Linked DNA regions of Mytilus edulis. The protein of the gene in region 1 purifies or fractionates together with the protein of each later gene. This does not show direct contact. Links are inferred from orthologs where the notes say so. Each region holds a gene or a part of one and is shown in the gene's direction. Other genes may lie near its edges.

Region 1 (9,490 bases):
TGGTCTGTATAATGGCATAGTTGTGAATTCCTAGTTCATTTAAGATCGGCGCCCGTGGTACGTTTCTTCTGCAATCATTTATATCTGCTATCATTTATAGATGTATGGGTGGTATCGGACATCTTGGTCATCTTGATTCAGTTGTTATTTCGTTGTAAGTATGGAATATTCCTTGGTCCATGTATATGCTGGTGGCCTGTAGATCGGCGCTGTTAGCTTGGCGGTTCCTTTCGGATGCAGGGGTTCACGATTAAATAATAAATTAAATTCCGCGAGGTGAACCAACGCCTGTGAAATCGTTTTGGTAGAGTCCCTGAAGTGGATACCTTGGTATGCCGGGTTGTCAAATCATGCAAATGAATGCAATCCTTAAATAATAATTAAAATTGACAACAACACTTCATGCAAATGAATGCAATCCTTAAATAATAATTAAAATTGACAACAACACTTCAAAAGATCTGCAATTTTATTATCTATGTCTACATGTTTCGCCTGCAAGGCAGGCTTCATCAGGACAAAAATTATATAGTCACCAAATAATTAACAAAGGAACAGTTTTTGACAATTTTATTATCCACAGCGGCGATCATAATCTTCCTATTGTTGCCGACGCGCCGGGAAGTAGTAACCTCCAACTATGGCCAGGTTGGAAGAGAAGCCTTGCGAAGTGGTAGGAACCATGGGAAGTTCGTCCTATTAGATGCCAAGCCTTTAGAACAATTTTATGTATCATATAATAGTAAAACGAACTCAAGTTACATTGTATACAAACTTTAATTTTCTATATTTATCTTATCTATTTATAACTCTGTATTGCTACTTTCACTTTTCATTGTTTCTCTCACCATGACGACGTCAAATTTAATGCACCACTTTGAGTACTTCAGGGGCTCAATTTCTGTATAAAAATTGTCCTGATGAAGCCTGCCTTGCAGGCGAAACATGTAGACATAGATAATAAAATTGCAGATCTTTTGAAGTGTTGTTGTCAATTTTAATTATTATAATTGAAATACTTATATACAACTTATTGTCCTGACACTAGATAAATGCGTTTTGGGCCCCTTTGGGCCCCTAACTTCTAAACCTTAAGGACCATAACCCCTAAAAACAATCCCAAACTTCCATTTGTGGTTATAAACATTGTGTTAAAATTTTATTGATTTCTATTTACTTATACTTATATCCGTCTTTGAATAATGCTGATGACGTGATTTATAGAATAGCTAATCCAAGAATTCAAATATCGAAAAATATTCAACGAGTGACCGAACATCACATTAATTCATGAATGCGTGTAGCGCATGAGTTAATTATCAGTGTTGTTCGGTCACAAGTTGAATATTTTTCGATATTTGAATTCTTCAATTACTTATTCTTTTTATTACATTGGCAAAGGTTTTTTTTAAAGGAATTAATGTAAAACATGTAAGGAACTATATCTTTTTTCTACGCATTCACAATTTGTTTTGATCCGCCGCTATCGACATCTTGACAACGCCTATTGTTGTATGACGTCAGAGAGTGAAATAACCACGTTAATTTCACATGTGAAATTATCGGTTTTTATTTAAATGGGAAATCAAGGTAATTTATTGCAACCAATGCAATCGCAAACATTGTTGTGGTCGTATCAAAAAATAGTTTTAATAATTATAAGATTGATATTTTTTTAATAGATATTAGATTCCTTTTTTTCCATTTGTAAAGGATCATAACTCTAGAACGTTTGAATTGACACCACTAAAATTCAAACTTAATTTGTATTTTGAGGAAATAAGCAAATGTGTATAAGCTTAATAACATTTGGTTGAGGCAAACTTAAGTTATAGAACCGAAACTAAAATAATTGTAATTTTTCCATTTATAAAGGGGCATACCTCAACAACGGTTCTAGTAATTTTACAAAATTTCAAACTTGATCTGTATATAATTAGTGATACTTAGCATTGTGTATAAATTTCATAACATTTGGTTGATGCACACCAAAGTTAGAGAACGGAAACTAAAAATTTCGCAATTTTCCATTTATAAAGCAGCATAACTCTAGAACTGTTAAAGTGGCACCACCAAATTTCAAACTTGATAAGTGTTTTATGGTAATAAGCATTGTGTATAAGTTTCATAACATTTGGTTGATGCAAACTCAAGTAAGAGAACAGAAACCAATTTCAGGATGTACGGACGAACGTATGTACATACAGACCGACAAGGGTAAAACTTAATGCATGGGGTTGATCTCCAGTGCTACAATACATATCTCAATACAATGCTGCTTCTTCTGGAACATTTATACTTACTTGGATCTGATTTTGAAAATACATCTGAATCTATGAGGTGTCTGAAATGATACAAATGTTAAAAATCAAATCTATAAGAAATTGTAACATGTAATCTTTCAGATCCTAGTTAGAAAAATAAATAAAAATAGTCTTCTCTCTTTTAGTAAGGTTTCAACTTTTAAGATTTGTTTCTGTGTACAGTTGACTCTATAATTTGTCTGATCTGACTGACTTTGAGATAACGAGAGTAGACTGTATTTACAATTTTTTTCTGAAACATTTTAAAATTTATTTTTAACTTTTGGTCTTAAATTGCCTTATAAAATGAAAGTTATTTCAGAAACACGACAAACACTTGTAAAATAAAGGATTGGGAAAGACCGAGTTGACAGTGCTAAAAAACATTTGGTAAAAATTTAAAAGTTATTTTCTCCCCAGATTCAATGTCCAAAAATATTCAAGGAAAACTTTTATAAGAATTGATGGCAGAATAACTGGTACTCTATTAGTAATAAAACAAGAAGGCTTCAAAAGTTCACCTGCTTAAGAATTTTCAAACTTCATACCGTACACCTAATAATTATACAGTGACTCTATTGCTTATAGTATCTGATGAACATACCTTATTGTGGAAATTAAACTTAACATTCCCCAAGGCCAATGAACCATAAAAATAAGGTCACAGTCAAGGTCAGATGGACTCACCAATACATTGTAAATTCATTTTCAGCAGAAAACAATAAGGGAGCAACCATTTAGTTTAAAGGGCATGAAGGGGGAGGTATTGTTTTGTGTTTGAGTCAGTATTTCTCACCTGCAAAGCGCTTCAACGCTATAAGTCAAAATTATTTAGTAAAAATAAAACACTGAAAGGTATGGGGAAAACCTGGATTCAGAATTTATTTTTTTTGTCCTCTGGAATAGAATTTTCTTTTCCTTCAATTTGGAAATAAGACTATTTAAGAAAAATACTAGTCAAACTAATAATGACATCTAGGAAGGCTTTTTTAATTTTTTGCTTTGATGCCTTCCTTAGCAAGTCAAAGAAATATATAATAGCCTAACAAGACGTCATAATTATTTTTACTAGAAAAATACCAGTATGACAACAATCAGTGGCAGATCATCAAGAACTTTTTGGAAGGGGTGTCGGCTGACTGACCTTAAAAAAGGGGGGGGGGGGGGGGGGGGGGGGGGGGGGGGGGCTACTCCGATCACTCTTCAGTGATTCCCAATATTAGCAACCAAATTTTTCCAACGAAAAAGGTGGGGGCAGCCCCCTGGATCCGCCTATGATAATCAATTAATAAAGTTTGAATTGTTTTACATTGTCAATTCCGGGGCTTTTATAGCTGACTATGAGGGCAGAGGTATGGGCTTTGCTCATGGTTGAAGGCCGTACAGTGACCTGTAGTTGTTACAACAGAAAAAACACTGAATCCATCAAAATTTTCTCAGACAGCCAATCAGCAATTGGAATTTTAACTTTAAATTGGAAATCAGATAATTATGGCAAAACTATTCATGATATTAAAATCGGTATATTGGCACTAAAATCTGAAGGAATCATTGTTTCCATTGAATGGACCCCTGGACACGCTGACATACAAGGTAATGAACTAGCAGACCAACTAGCTAAAAAAGCAGCACTGGAAGCAGAAAAAATACAAAGCATTCCAATATTTACAAAACAAGATATACAAAAAGGAGCAAAAGACAGTGTTATGTTAAAATGGCAAAACCGATGGGAGACCAGTGATAAAGGAAGAAGATATTATGCCTTGCAACAAAATGTGAAAAATACACTTCCAAAAGACAAACCGTCAACTGAAATATATTGAATAACTACTAGTTTAAGAACAGGATATTGCAATTTAAACTCATACAAATCAATGATATGCCCAGCACTCATCGACAAATGCAGCTGTGGACAAGTAGAAACAGTTGACCATTATCTACTGGATTGTGAAAATTATGAGGAGGCTATAGAGAAAAACTTCGCTCTGCACTCTACTTCATAACATCAAAACTAACACTTAAATCAGAAGTATTATTAGCAACAACAGAAAATGATAATTACAAACATCACATAGAAGATATTCAACATTTGTTAGGGGTCTTTATTAAAGATACTCGAAGGTTCACAAAATAGATAGTTCAGGTTTTATAAGGGTTAACTATTTATTCATTTTTTTGTTAATTATTTATTTATTTATTTATTTATTTTTCTCTGCATCGCCACATAATAGATACACATGTGCTAATGAGTTTTATACAATAGCGACATAAAATTACCAAGGTAATCGAAATTACAGTCTACAGAGAGATTATAGTGTCAAGTTGACACTTCTAAAGACTAAAGATTTCTGCATCATTTTGGTCTCTTGTGGAGAGTTTATCACACCACATTTTCTTATTTTTTTTTGGTATAAAGCTGGCATTTAAGGTATCGCCTTCCTCATATTAGAAAAAAAAGAATGTTGATCAGTGACCCATGAAAATGAGGTCAAGGTCAGTTGAAACCTGCCAATCGGACATGTAAACCTTGTATAAATCATATTTTTGTAATTATTGTCATTGCACCATGTAAATTTCATTGGTCGCCTTTAAAAAATAGAATTTTACTTTCACTTAAACTTTTTACGCATTTTTAATCAATTTGTTTATGTCAAATCAGAGATGTTGATTTCGAAATGTTTACTTTGACATGTTGATGCACAAATTAATAGTAAATAAAAAGATGCATCTTCTGTGCCTTGAAACAGATTTTTAACATTTGAGTGTATTGATGCTGTTAATCCTTACCGACAAGAAATCGACAACTCGACTAAGGTAGCAGGAGCTACACCTGTTCCTGGTTGAAACGTATTCTCTGCCATATTATTTTTGTTTACAAAATTTCTCTTTTAAAATTCTCTAGACTTTACTGCAAGAGGATAGGACAAGTCAACTTATACCGAACGATTTCGAAATGCAACATGGGAAATCCATCCGGGCCTTGCGTCATCAACACGCATGTCAAAGGGTGTCAGAGCCGCTAGGAAGAAGCACATGGCCGCTGAATGAGGTCAAATTCCTTTCATTTTCTTCAATTTTAGTGCTCTGTTTACGGAATTTTATCTTTTGGCATATAAAAACTAATGAAGTAATCATTTAACTTTGGAAATAAGGTAGCAACTATGGGAATTAAATCTCTGCAAGATTATATTGAGACGCACTGCTCTAGTGCCTGTGTGTCAGTTGATTTGCTGAAAATATCTAGGGGTTTTGTACCAAAAAGGCGTGGCAGGTATCCAGGTTCATCCAGATTCTGCCTTGTTGTAGATGCAGAGAGCTGTCTAGATCGACTCTATGGCGGCTACTTTTCAGACTGGGTATGTGGGGGTCAATGGAATAGGATGACATCTTATTTAAACAGCCTAATCCAGGCTTGTCAAGCAGCTAACATGGAACTGGTTGTATTCTTCAATGGGTCTTTGGAGAGTCAAAAAATGAATGATTGGTTTGCAAGTCAGAGTATGGAGAAGAAGAAGGTACAGTCCATCTTGCGACATGTCAACAACAAAGGAACACCACCTCCCAAAATTTGGTGGATCCCACCAGTGTTCCTCCATGGTGCACTTAGAATGGCATTGCGACAGCTAGGTGTTACTGTTGCATGCTCTATGGATGACCATGAGCAAGAGGTTATTGGTTATTGCAGGGAACATGGGCTTCAAGGAATTCTTGCACAAGATGCAGTATACACAATATTTGATCCACCACGTTATTTTTCATCCCACAACCTGAAACTGACCTATAAAGGTTCTTTAGAAACCAAAGAATACATCATGGATGAGATTGCAAAAAATCTTAACCTGAACCCAAACAGATTCTGCATTTTTGCAGCACTATTGGGTAAGTTCAGCAGTATGAACAGTAACATAATGTTATTTAGAAACGCAAGAAATCTATTTATAAATGAACAGAAGTAACCGATTGAAATAGAATTGACTAATCAAACGCACCTTTCTCCTGACATGCCTGAAATCATGTTTTTTATGTAACTTTAAAACTTGTTTCACAATATTTTGATTGGTTCCATACTCTTACTATTGACAGTTGAAAATAAGGGTGTATGTACCCTAGCTACATGTACTAGAATTTCAGGGTTCAACTACTAGCGAACTAGCTAGCCAAATATATTACCTTTACTGCGAATAGTACATACATGTAGTATATATACATGTTACATCTAACCATTAAAAAAGAATGATTGGCATGCTAGTGTTTTGAATCTTTAAACAAAAGATGATCCACTCTGCACTGTGCAGTTGAAGGAGGATTAGTTGCCATGCCGTTTATTCTGGTTTAATTAGAAATTCATGCATGTATATAGTGATGGTCATAATAGAACTGCTTTGGTTGATATGAAATTAAAATTCCTGAACACCTGAAGCATGAACTACTGCAGATTATTAAGGGCGAATTTACATTTATGAATGTATAGAAAAAATCTGGTTGATGTTTAATCAATTAAATTCATTTATTCTGTAAAAATTGTTTCACATCATTTTTTAACCTCGTGTTCCATTTTTTCCAGGAAATCACATCCTACCAGATGCAGACTTGTATGACTTCTACAGAAATTTACTGAACACCACACAGCCAGATGGTGGACAACCTATTAAGGTGAATTCATACTATAAATTAGTCCAAAACACCGTTTGGTGTCCACCTATTACATGTATTGCATTTATTTAGAGGATGGTATGAGGGTCACAAGGCTGTCTTTTCTAGTTGCCGCTTACACATAAAAAACACCTGAATCTGCATTCTTTTTCACCTACTGATAACTGAGGGGTCTAATAATGTGCAGGTGATAATAAAGAACAATAACCAAAAGAATCAAATTTATGGACATTTATCATTTGACCGGTGTACACTAAATTAAAGAAACGACAATGCAACCTTGTGTCGATCAAACTGGCGTCTCGGTTGAAATTCTGGTTGGTTGTTTTGAATAATGTTGTCTTTTGCCTGAAATATTGTTATTATGCATATTTACACATTGTCAACAAAAAATAAGGTTGTCGGTTCAATTTAAAATTTTACCAAATTTATTATTCACTCAGCAATGAGTGCACATAACTGTATTCATTAAAAATTATTATTGGAAAAGATTAAAGGCATCTGACAATTAAAATCACTGTGTAATTCACATACAAAGAGTTAAATTTTATGGACATTTTAGTTGGTAAAAACCTTAGTTTAGTGGTGTCATCAGGGTTTTACTTGTTTTGACTATTGCACTAGTGCATTTAGTGATGACCACAGGCTATTACTCTTGATAGAAAATATATTTTAATCATTTTATTAACCGGATTTTTGTGACAAAAATGTTGGTTATTGATTTGGGGATGTACGGCGAGCGGCAATCAAATGTTGTCCGTGCATTAACTCATGAACCGTTCAACCAAAGCTTTTCAAATTTTAATGTGTTGTTACTGACAACTAAATGAAGGTCAAGTTCAATACTGGTGATTTTTACTCTTACCGTTCAGGAGTTATGGTTCTTGAAAGATTGAAAAATGGAGTTTCCAGTCGTGTCCGTGCATAAACGCATGAACTGTTCTACCAAAGCTTCCCAAATTTTGATCTGTTGTTACTTATGACAAAATAGAGGTCAAGTTCAATAATGACGATTTTGACTTTTACGGTTCAGGAGTTATGGTTCTTGAAAGATTGCAAAATGGCGTTTCCATTCACGTTGTTGCATTTTCTCATGAACCATTCAATATAAGCTTTTCAAATTTTAATATGTTGATACTGATGACAAAATGGAGGTCAAATTTGATATTGACGATTTTCACTTTCAATATTCATCAGTAATGGTTCTTGTGATATTGCCAGGACACAAATAAATATTAATAAATCTGGTTTGCTGTCGTTGTGACAGCCTCTTGTTTTTTATTGAATTTGTATCCAGATTTTAATTGGGACATCAGTTTGTGTCTGTGCAATAACTTGTGAACTGTTAAACAAATCTGTTTCAAGTTGAAATTTATTATTACTGATGACAGAATGAGGTCAAGGTAGATATTGAAGATTTTCAGTTTTGCTGTACAGGAGTTCTGTTTATTTATTGATTAGAAAATTGGAATTTTATATTGTTTCTGTGGCATAAGTTAACAGCTGGTTTACAAATGCTTTTCAAATGAACTGAAATATATTGTCAATTTAATATGGGAATATTGGGGTCACATTTGATTGATGATTATAACTATTGCTCTTTAGAAGTCGCAACTCAAGATTGCTGTTAAAATTACTCACAAATTGAAATGAAATGAAAATTGTTTGTCATTGTGACAGCCTTTTTTGTTTAAAAAAATCAAGTGAAAGTTTTAGTTCTTGCCTTTACATTGTAAAAAGTGTAATACATGCTCTAGTGAGCTTTTAAAATCGACATTGATTTTTGTCATAGAATTAAGATAACACATATATTATATTCTAGAACTGTATTGCAAAAGGTTTAAAATTTATTAATATTTTTCGGAAGTTTTAATATTATTTTATAACTCCCACCCTCAAAATTTAATCTGTGGTGACCCCTGAGCCATCATATTTATTAACTCTGTGAGTTTTAGGAAGATACATTATTCAAACTTTTGTCTTGCAGTTTACTCCAGAGAATTGTATTGAAGCAGCTGTAAAATTTGTTCGTAACTTAGCCTCAGTAGATAATCTGGATACTGTTGGAGAACAGATTTTCAGGTAATTAATTGACTTATCTGTTATAATGATTTCTACTTATTTTTATACGACCGCAAAATTTGAAAAATTTTTCGTCGTATATTGCTATCACGTTGGCGTCGGCGACGTCGTCGTCGTCGTCGTCGTCGTCGTCCGAATACTTTTAGTTTTCGCACTCTAACTTTAGTAAAAGTGAATGGAAATCTATGAAATTTTAACACAAGGTTTATGACCACAAAAGGAAGGTTGGTATTGATTTTGGGAGTTTTGGTCCCAACATTTTAGGAATTAGGGGCCAAAAAGGGCCCAAATAAGCATTTTCTTGGTTTTCGCACTATAACTTTAGTTTAAGTGAATAGAAATCTATGAAATTTTGACACAAGGTTTATGACCACAAAAGGAAGGTTGGGATTGATTTTGGGGGTTTTGGTTCCAACAGTTTAGGAATTAAGGGCCAAAAAAGGGCCCAAATA
Region 2 (9,619 bases), on another chromosome or scaffold:
CATTTAACATTCCAAACGAATATTATAAATGTCTCGCTTTCAAAGGTTTGTGAGGCAATTGTTTATAAGGGGAAGACTAACACTAGCATCATACAGACTCGGATTGTTTTGATGAAGTTCATTGAATGGATTTATGAATAAAGAAAAAGAGTTAATCAAAGTAGATGGACAACGCAGGCTAAATTTTAAGAAAGGATCACAATACAACAGGACGGGGAAATCAGGTAAAAACCTGGGTTTTTTTCATGGTATTGTTTGTTCATAGTTTTGTAAAAAAAAAAATCACTAAAATACATTTAAACACAGCGGCAAGATTGTTTTCTGTGTATGATGGTGAGGTAAGAGCGCTACCGAGGGCACATGAGATGATCCCCGGTTTTAGGGGGGAGTTAGTGTTGCTCAGTCTTTAGTTTTGTTTTTTTTGGCCGTTTTTCGTTTTTGTTTGCCAAGAATTTGTCAGTTTGTTTTCGACTTTAGAGTTTGGATGTCCCTTTGTTATCTTTCGCCTATCTTTGGCATAAATTTAAATAAAAGTAGAAAAATCCATTCAATAACATTTATCAAAGTAGGTAGGACCGCCAGTTACTGATCTCGCACATTTCTTGATCTTATTAAAATACAGATCTTCGGTATAACTCAGGTCGCTATGTTTAGTTTTTCGATGAGTAGGCGAATTACGAAGATCTTGATTTTAATCAAATTGGAACGCTCATCCAAAAAATTCTACGATTTTTTTGGAAATTAAAAACAATGTATGACAATCTGGATGGCTACTCCATGTCTAGTTATCATAATTTTGATACCTTGTGTATACATCTATAAACAGCTTGGCATCTTCTAAATGAAAGGGAGTAGTAACTGTTGGAAATGTGACGTCTCGTAGAATATCTACCCAGTGTTCTGTATTTGCAGCCAGTACATTGTCGTCATAGTCTTTTATCTCGTCCTCCGTTAAATATCCGCCAGTTTTCAAACCTGAATAATCACGGATTGGTTCTCTTGTTTTCTTCAGTTTAACATGCTTCAGTTGATCTGCCAAGTTTGCTGCCATATTCCAATGCTAATCTACAAATTAAATCATACCGATCACATCCAGTCAGTGTTGCTTCATGAACTTATTGTACATAACAAATACGTGGACGAACATTTGAAATTCAGGGATGACGAGGTTCTTAGAATATTTTTGGAGATATCATTATTTTATTCATCCCACCCCTTTTTGGCCTTCTTTGCATATATAGATATATTCAATGATTTTACAAAATTGTTAAATTGAAATCCTTTCAGAATTACTTGATTGAAGTTTGGTCAAACTCTGATTTGCAATAAAAACATATCATGTAGAGAACATATATACTAAGTTTCAAGTTGATTGGGCTTCAACTTCATCAAAAAATACCTCAACCAAAAAACTTTAACCTGAAGTGGGACAGATGCATTTATATGTTCAGTGGACCGTGAAATTGGGGGTTTATACTCTAATTTGGCATTGAAACTAGAAATATCATACCATTAGGAACATGTGTACTACATTTCGAGTTGATTGAACTTCAACTTCATTAAAAACTACATTGACCAAAACCTTTAAACTGAAGCTGGACAAACGGACGGTCTGACTAGTGAACGGAGGAACGGAAGCACAGATGCAGAAAAACTGAACTCAAAACATGCCCAGAAGAACTGGCTGACTTTTCTATGGCAATCAATCGTGAAGACGTTGCCCCGATTACAAACAGCCATTGACAAATCCAATAATAAGGAGAAAATCGGCTGTTTCGGTTCTTACAATCAAGGATCGTCCTGGTCGTGAGGAAATCAATGCAACTTTACAACACAAACTTTATTTAGACATCGAAACTGAAACTCATGTTTATAAAGAATCTATAAGTATTGCTTTTTTAGAGTCCGTCAGTATACTTTAAATATAAACCGGATAACGTGAACGATATTTTTAGTAACAAATATATTTATGCATACCTGTATTTTCTTTTTCTTTTGGTACGTATTCCTCTCTGGGATTTAAATCGTTGAAACAATGTTAAATTAAGATCGTATTTTAATACTATAAGTAGTCTTAAAAAATGTATCTGCTGTGCTGGAGCCTTCAATAGAAATCACAAATGTCATACGACAAGCGAAAATTTTAGTTCCGAGCTACAACAGTCATGGCCGATCGCGCGTAGTTGTCAAAACAATAGTGATACTTTAAATAATTCCAGATCGGTAATAAAATTCTAATCAATAGTGAATGTTTTCCTTCGTTTTCATGTCATTTCGATATATATCTTCCGTTATCTAATATATACAACTCGTTTAGATTTACCATTGGAAGGTCAATATCTCTGGACATTCGTTAGTCGTTTTGTCAATGAAGGTTTAAATGAGGACATGAGGTTAAAGTTTTCACTGGACCGAACGGCAAAATAAAGATGAGAAAAAACTGGGACTATTAGATTTAGTATTATATTCGCAGGAAAAATTAAGATATAGGTCTATCAAAAAGCGAACTTATTCCAAATATAATATATATAAGCAACACATGGAGTTAAATTAAAAGAGGTTGTAGGAAACGGGATACAAAGTCATAAACTAAAAATGGAAAGCGATATAGTTTCGATCGACCCTTCAAAATTTTGTTATCAGACACAAAGGAAATAACATAGTTAAGGTTCATGTGGACCCTATGGCTAAAATGGCCGTATTTTCACCTCAAAATTTTCTCTGAGTACAGGCAAACCTGTGCATCTGGAAAAGTTTTAAGGCATGACATGCCCTAAATAAATGAATTTTAAATATGTTTTATGTTTTAAAAAAATAAAAACTTACCAGGATTTTGCGGTGCACTTTTTTTCATTCCTCCAGAAGGTGCCAAAATAAACTAAGTTGGGAAACAGGTTTGAGAACTTCCCCACAGGTAAAACTTAAAGTGAGCATTTTTAGTTGACATGGACATTAGATGGACAATAGATACCTGACAATAATTGGTTATTTAAACTGTGTACCTGAGTGGACCATATCAAGGTAAACTCAACTGTTTGTTAATTTTATCATCTTCTGCAGAGATGAAAAAAAGTGTACGGCAAAATCCAGTTAAGTTATGAATTTTCTAAATCATACAATGCATTTGAATTCTATTTATCTAGGGCATGCCATGCCTTAAAACTTTTCCAGATGCACAGGTTTGCCTGTACTCAGAGAAAATTTTGAGGTGAAAATACGGCCATTTTAGCCATAGGGTCCACATGAACCTTAACGCCGTCCGTGCTGTCTCGTGCAGAAGGGTCAACATTCAGCGGTCCACTGCTATTGGTCCTCAGTGGTCCCACTGCTGAGTAATTAAGTCAAAACAAATTATCCTTATATTAATATAATCTGTCCGAATAGGTTAATTAAGTACTGTGATACACATCAAAAGTCTTAACGAGTCTTTCATGCTAGATCTATCTAGTATTAAAAATCCAAATGTACCCAAACACCTAGCTTTAATCCTATACCTCCAAGACAAGTAAGTTGATGACCCCGCAAACAAAGTCCCTAATAACACCGTTTTCATTTGTAAATCTCCGTTTTATGGTGTGGTTCGTGTTGCTAAGTTTGTTTGGATGCTATGTTTGTAAACTTTTTGTAGTTTCATTTTTGCCATGGTATTAGTTATCAGTTCTTCTTTGGGATGTGATTTCACAGGCACTTGTCTCAGAAAAAAAATTTCCTATATACCTTAATATAACACATAGGAAATTTTTTTTCTGAGACAAGTGCCTGTGTGTGATTTCCTTATCATCTTCTCCGTTTAGATTGTTTAAATGCAGTTGATTCCTCCGTAATAGTAATAGAAACCCATATACCTGATTAGGATCTATATAGAGGGAATATATATTCATTATTTTGAAAATGTATGTAGATGGTCTATTACTACACTCTTCATCAGACTCATAATTTAAATTGTTTATAGTATACTGGGTTTTTTTCCGTGACTCCCTGGTATTTCTGATCTATAGTCATTATATAATAATAGTTAAAGGCATTTATGGATGGGGCTTTAGTGATTTTATTTATTTGATTGTTTGTTCCAGGTTAGCAATTCTAACAGATAAGGAGTGTTTGTGGATTTTAGATTGAAATCTTTAATGGATGACTTTGTTGCTAATTGTCCTTCTACTGCCGTCAGTCTATGTTAACGTTGTGAATCAGCTTCCATGTTTAAAATGAGCTTACTTCCTTATCATAGTACCCATTGATAGGTTTTGAAGGTTTCAAACATATCCCCTCGTATTTTTCTATATGATAGTGTAGGTAAGCCTTTTTAAAAGTCTCTGTGATAGCTCATATCTTTGAGTCCTGGTAGTTGTTTTGTTACCCTTCTTTGGACTCCTTCTATTTTGTTAAAACCTTTTTTCTTGTATGAAGACCAGACTGGACTAGCATAGTACAAATGGGTTCTGATATTTTTTATACAAAAGCACGAATGTCTCAGTACCCAATAATTTAAGTTCTTTTGAAAACTGCGTATATCAATTTCTTCTCCCCTTTTTTGTCCTTTTTATTTTTTCGTTTTTTTTTTTTTTGTTTTTTTTTTTTATTACTATTTGTTTTTTTGTTGTTATATTTTTTTTTTTTTTTTTGTGTTTCTGTTTTCTAAATAATGATTTATTTATTTATATATTTTTATTTTTGATTTTTTTTTCTGTATTATTATTGTTTTCTTTTTCTTCAATTTTCCGTCTTTTGATCCATATTTATATATATATTTACTAAATAGATATACCATTCTATCATGACATATATTTTTGTATTATATTGCTATAAATGTTAAATGGAGAAAACTTCATAAGTCTGTTTGACTTGTGTCTTATCCAATTTGTACTTTAACAAATAAAATATGTTTAAACTAATCAGTTGGCTTTATTTTATTTTTCGCTTCATGTCCTTCATGATGTGATTTTCACTGGTGAGTTCTGAGTCAATAAGGACTCCTATATGATTTTTTTCCTCTGTAAAACTTTTCTATTGTATGATTAAGTAGACTGTAATTATTTGAGTTGTCAGTGCTATTCAAGTTGATTTCTTACATATTTTTATGTATTTACATTTTTCATGGTGTAGCTATTTGTCGCTCCATGTTTCCATCTTGTAAAGGTCTTCTTCGACGGTAGAATGTCTCTGGCATTCTGATTCTTCATTACCCTACAGATATTGGTGTCATCGGAAAATACATAAGCATCAAAATCCATTAGCTATATTATATATCATATATCAGCCGTCTGGAAGATTGTTTATGTACAGTTCAAATAACAGTCAGCAAACCCAATATTGATCCTTGTGGTATCCTTGTTGGATTATCTCAGCTTTTTTTTTTTGTATCTAATAAGGACAAAAGTATAAATTTAGTTTCATTTATAAACAACTACCCGACTGGGAGATATTTTTTTTTATTGTGGATGTCTTTTGGGTCGATCTGTACAGGGCGAGTTTATTAGTTTTGTTTTTACAGGGGAAGTAACTCTATTCCAACGGTCAACAGCGTGGAAATGGCGAATTACCAGCCCTACGATAAAAGACATAGAGATCTCCAAGAAGATGTTCGCCCTGCCAATAGTAGACTCTTTATTTTATGCAGTAAACAAGCAACGGAAGAAATGTTCCAGAAGGAATTCGAGCGATATGGAGGAATCGAAGATATCTGGGTTGTGAAAGATAAACGTTCAAACGAAAACAAAGGTTATTTTTATAAAATTTATTTCTTTTTGACGATAAGTTTGACATTTTAGTAAACTGATCAATGCTTTAAATGATGTTCCACCTGACCATTATCAAAAAGTCATGATTAGGTTTCTCTAAATTGAATATTCAGTCTTATTCGGTAATACTGTCTATAAACATTATTGATACTTTTATTGTTTTACTCCATATACGGAGGTGTGCCTATATTGGCAGAAATTCATTGGATACAGATACCTCAGTCAATACCAAAAATTGCATCCACATGTACATGACATTTTTTTCCAAATAGACTAATTTGAATTCCTGTAAATTTCTGATGCCACAATGCTGAGACATGTTCATGTCAGAACTGAATTTTCAATGACATTGTTTACGCTGATTGACCTTAGTTACAAAAATGTGACTAGTGTTACTCATTCTTTAAAGGCAGTGTCTGCGTTTACCCACATGCGGATAATACTCAAATTGCCATTCGTAGGCTACACGTACCCACATCCGTTTAAAAAAAAATGCCATCAGATCGGAAATGAAACATGAAATACAAACTGAAAATATTGATAATATGGGGATTTCGATTTCTTTTTTCTAAAAAACTAGTAATTACGATGCAAAATATGTTCTAATTACTCCCTGTGGCCGATCGTTTGATATATGTATTCACGCTTAACTGATTTTGATTTATGTTCAATACACCTTTTAGTTTTAAAGGAATTCCTTTCCCTAGTCATTACATTAGATTTCTTCAGTGTATCAATTTCAGATCGAAAAATTTCCCACCCTCCCTCCCTTTTTATATTGTTTAAAAAATAAAATTATGCAAATTAAATGCTGACTGGTGGAAAATGAAACTGTACAGTCCCTATAAAAAAAGAAAAACATGATAAAAATGAATACTATTAAAAAATGTAAATGCAAATTTAAAAAACTAAATTTTAATGAATTTGAAAAATACCCATATGAGATTTAAAAAAATAATCTTTTAGTGAAATGCAAAACAGAAGATGATCAAATAAACATTTTGCTTCCCTCGCAAAAAGGTTTAGTCCATCTTTAGTCATGTCAAGTTTAAAGTGGAAAGGACATTCCAATTGAAATGTACTTAAAGTAGGCAATCCTTTATATTAACCCTTACCATGCTGAATTGTTTTCAGAAAATGTCTAATTTTCGTTTCTTTGCAAAAATATGCAAATTATATGCAAATGAGCTTAGCCCTGTTGCTGTAGCATATTGATTCCTTTAACCCTTTCGCGGCGAGTGTATCCTTGAGGATACACAATGCGCAGGGCGGATGTATCCTTGAGGATACACGATGCGCAGGGCGAGTGTATCCTTCAGGATACATAAATATTGTCCCAATAAAAGCCGCAATTTTACACTATTTGCCGTTCTTAACAGTTGAAATCAATGTTTCAATTTTAATCTACGATATCTGAGGGTATTATTTCAGTTCTTCAACAGCATTAAAAACATTGTGAAAGGTAAATAAATCAAATCGGAAAATTTTATTTTATAAAATTAGAACCGGAAACACGTTTTGAGGTCATGTGGGGTTTCAAAATGGCTTCTCTCGATAACGAGGAGTGGAAGTACAACTGTTTTCTGTGTTTTGATGAAGCCCTTTATTATTCTTAGGTAGTTTTAACTATACAATAAAAATAAATGGTTCAATATATCTTAAATAAATATGATAGCGATCTTTTTATTCCCCCCACAAATCGGAACTAGACAAGTAAGTTTTTTTCGCGTTCATGGCTTTGCTGCAAAAACAATTCTCGATTTCGAGGGAACAGAGATATGGCTTTGAAAAGCTGGTACTCGGGTGACACATACACTTTGATTGAGTATCGGGTGAAATAAGCGGGTAGGGCTGTGAATGTACGGGAGAACAATGCACGAAATTGAAAGCAGTTTAGGAAGTGCAACTTCGTCTGCTAGTATTTCAGTGTGAAAATGTCGTCAGACGAAACTGATGTAGAATTTGCAGGTTCAGTGAAACTGATGTTATTAATGCCGGAAAAGAGGTCTTATTACTTAATGAGGAAAGGTTAAGAATTGGTCAGGGTGGGCAGGGGAAAGATGACAGTGTGGGCTATAATGAGTCAAATAATGAGGAAGCCAAAGGGGAGCAGGAGGTTAATATTAATTGGTGGCACAAACAATGAGATTAGTAGTGTTGAAAAAGTCTACACATATATTTGCCCCTTGTGGGAATATTTGGCTAAGTCATGTCATGGGTACTGAAAAGGAGGTGTCAGATTTAGGGCAACTTTATATGGATAATCCTTTTCATGAATGCATTCTGAATGCATTCATGAAAAGGATTATCCATATAAAGTTGCTGATTCTAAATCAACAAAACTGATAACTTTAAGCTTTCCACTTATTTTTAAAGGTGCTGTTATGTCACTATCCCAGATAAGGGGGAAAGGTTGAGTGCTCACAAACACGTTTAACCCTGCCACACTCTTTATGTGCCTGTCCCAAGTCAGGAGCATGTAGTTCACTGGTTGTTGTTGGTTCATGTCTGTCATTTTCATTTTAAATAAATTGTTTTGTAATCAAGAACATGTAGCTATATATATAGGCAGTTAGTTTTCTCAGTCGAATTGTTTAATATTTCTCATGTCTGGTGGGCCTTTTATAGCTGACTTTACAATATGGGATTTTCTCATTGATGAAGGCCATATGGTTGCCTATAATTACTTACATCCACTGTATTTGAACTTTGGTGGATAGTGGTCTTATTGTCAATCATACCTCATCTCCCTATTTTCATATTCACTACAAAAGCAAAGGCCAAATGACAACAAAATGCCTTGGAGCTACAAATCAGAAATGAAAGCATTTCTTGGTCTTGCATACCATTTACTAAGTTGTATTGGTTAACAGATCCAATAATGGTCACCTCAATATTGTCTTGTACAATGATTAGGGACAGGTATACCCATATTTTATGGTACCTTCATTTCTCTGACCATCATAGTAAATGAAACTTGATTACGTGAACAAAATGTTGATCCTTTCTGTAATATTAAACCTGTTGTTTCATTAGTTGAAACTCTGAAGAACAAAACAAATGTCTCAATCTTGTTAATATAATATATATATTGGTCAAGTTAAATGTGTAATAAATGTTGGCCAGTTAGCAAGATAAGAGGTTAAACTACCCCTTTACCATTGTTGACTACCCTTCAAACAGGGGTGGCTGACCAATACATTAAGTATTATTGATATTATCAAAAAACCTTGCAATGGCTCAAAAAAGTATATTTCATTTTACTTGGGATAGTTAAATTTGTAATGCCTACATATTATTTACCATTCATCCAACCTTAAATTTCTTCAGTTTTCTTGTTTGCTGGTAAAAAAGATTGATAAATATATATTTTGTGCTGGGGTAAGCAGGGTAAGGCCATTACTAGACATAAGTTCACACACATGCCTTCAAACTGGAACAATAAAGAGAGAAGTCAAGTTTGCTGTATTTAATTAGTTCTTGTTGTTTGTTAAAATTTTATTGTTGAAAGTTCATAATTTAGTTATCAAATTCTCTTAGTTAATTGTAATACTGATTATATAAATGGGAAAATATTGCTTAATTTTTTATCAAAATCTAAAGTTTTGTGACTTGATATGGGAAAAATGAAAATGCACTGAATTATCAAGAAAGGATGAAACATATGACAGATATGTGTACATATGTAATGAGAGTAGAAATTCATTGTGTAAGTGATTATTCTTCACATGATTACAATGTACATGCATATATATGATAACTAAAGTATCTATCATAATTAAAATAGTAATTTAATATATTTTATATACTCAGTGATTAAAAGTTTTTCAAATTACATAATCAGAAAATCTAGAACAAAGCTGTTGCATATTTGTAATCAT

What was found.
Region 2: the proteins of constitutive coactivator of PPAR-gamma-like protein 1 (region 1) and RNA-binding protein 45-like purify together in Homo sapiens (co-immunoprecipitation; 3 studies listed by BioGRID and IntAct, with this or other methods). This does not show direct contact. The link is inferred for Mytilus edulis from reciprocal best matches to the Homo sapiens genes FAM120A and RBM45.

Annotation. Positions count from the first base shown.
Region 1 is NC_092344.1:39,867,224-39,876,713, forward strand, and holds the start of constitutive coactivator of PPAR-gamma-like protein 1, read left to right. Parts: upstream 1-5,261; 5' UTR 5,262-5,464; coding exon 5,465-6,182; intron 6,183-6,867; coding exon 6,868-6,956; intron 6,957-8,943; coding exon 8,944-9,038; intron 9,039-9,490. Other genes in the region: copine-8-like, read right to left, coding at 2,304-2,344, 5,091-5,164. UniProt on the Homo sapiens protein: Component of the oxidative stress-induced survival signaling. May regulate the activation of SRC family protein kinases. May act as a scaffolding protein enabling SRC family protein kinases to phosphorylate and activate PI3-kinase.
Region 2 is NC_092345.1:93,886,259-93,895,877, forward strand, and holds the start of RNA-binding protein 45-like, read left to right. Parts: upstream 1-5,484; 5' UTR 5,485-5,528; coding exon 5,529-5,718; intron 5,719-9,619. Other genes in the region: translation initiation factor eIF2 assembly protein-like, read right to left, coding at 804-1,051. UniProt on the Homo sapiens protein: RNA-binding protein with binding specificity for poly(C). May play an important role in neural development.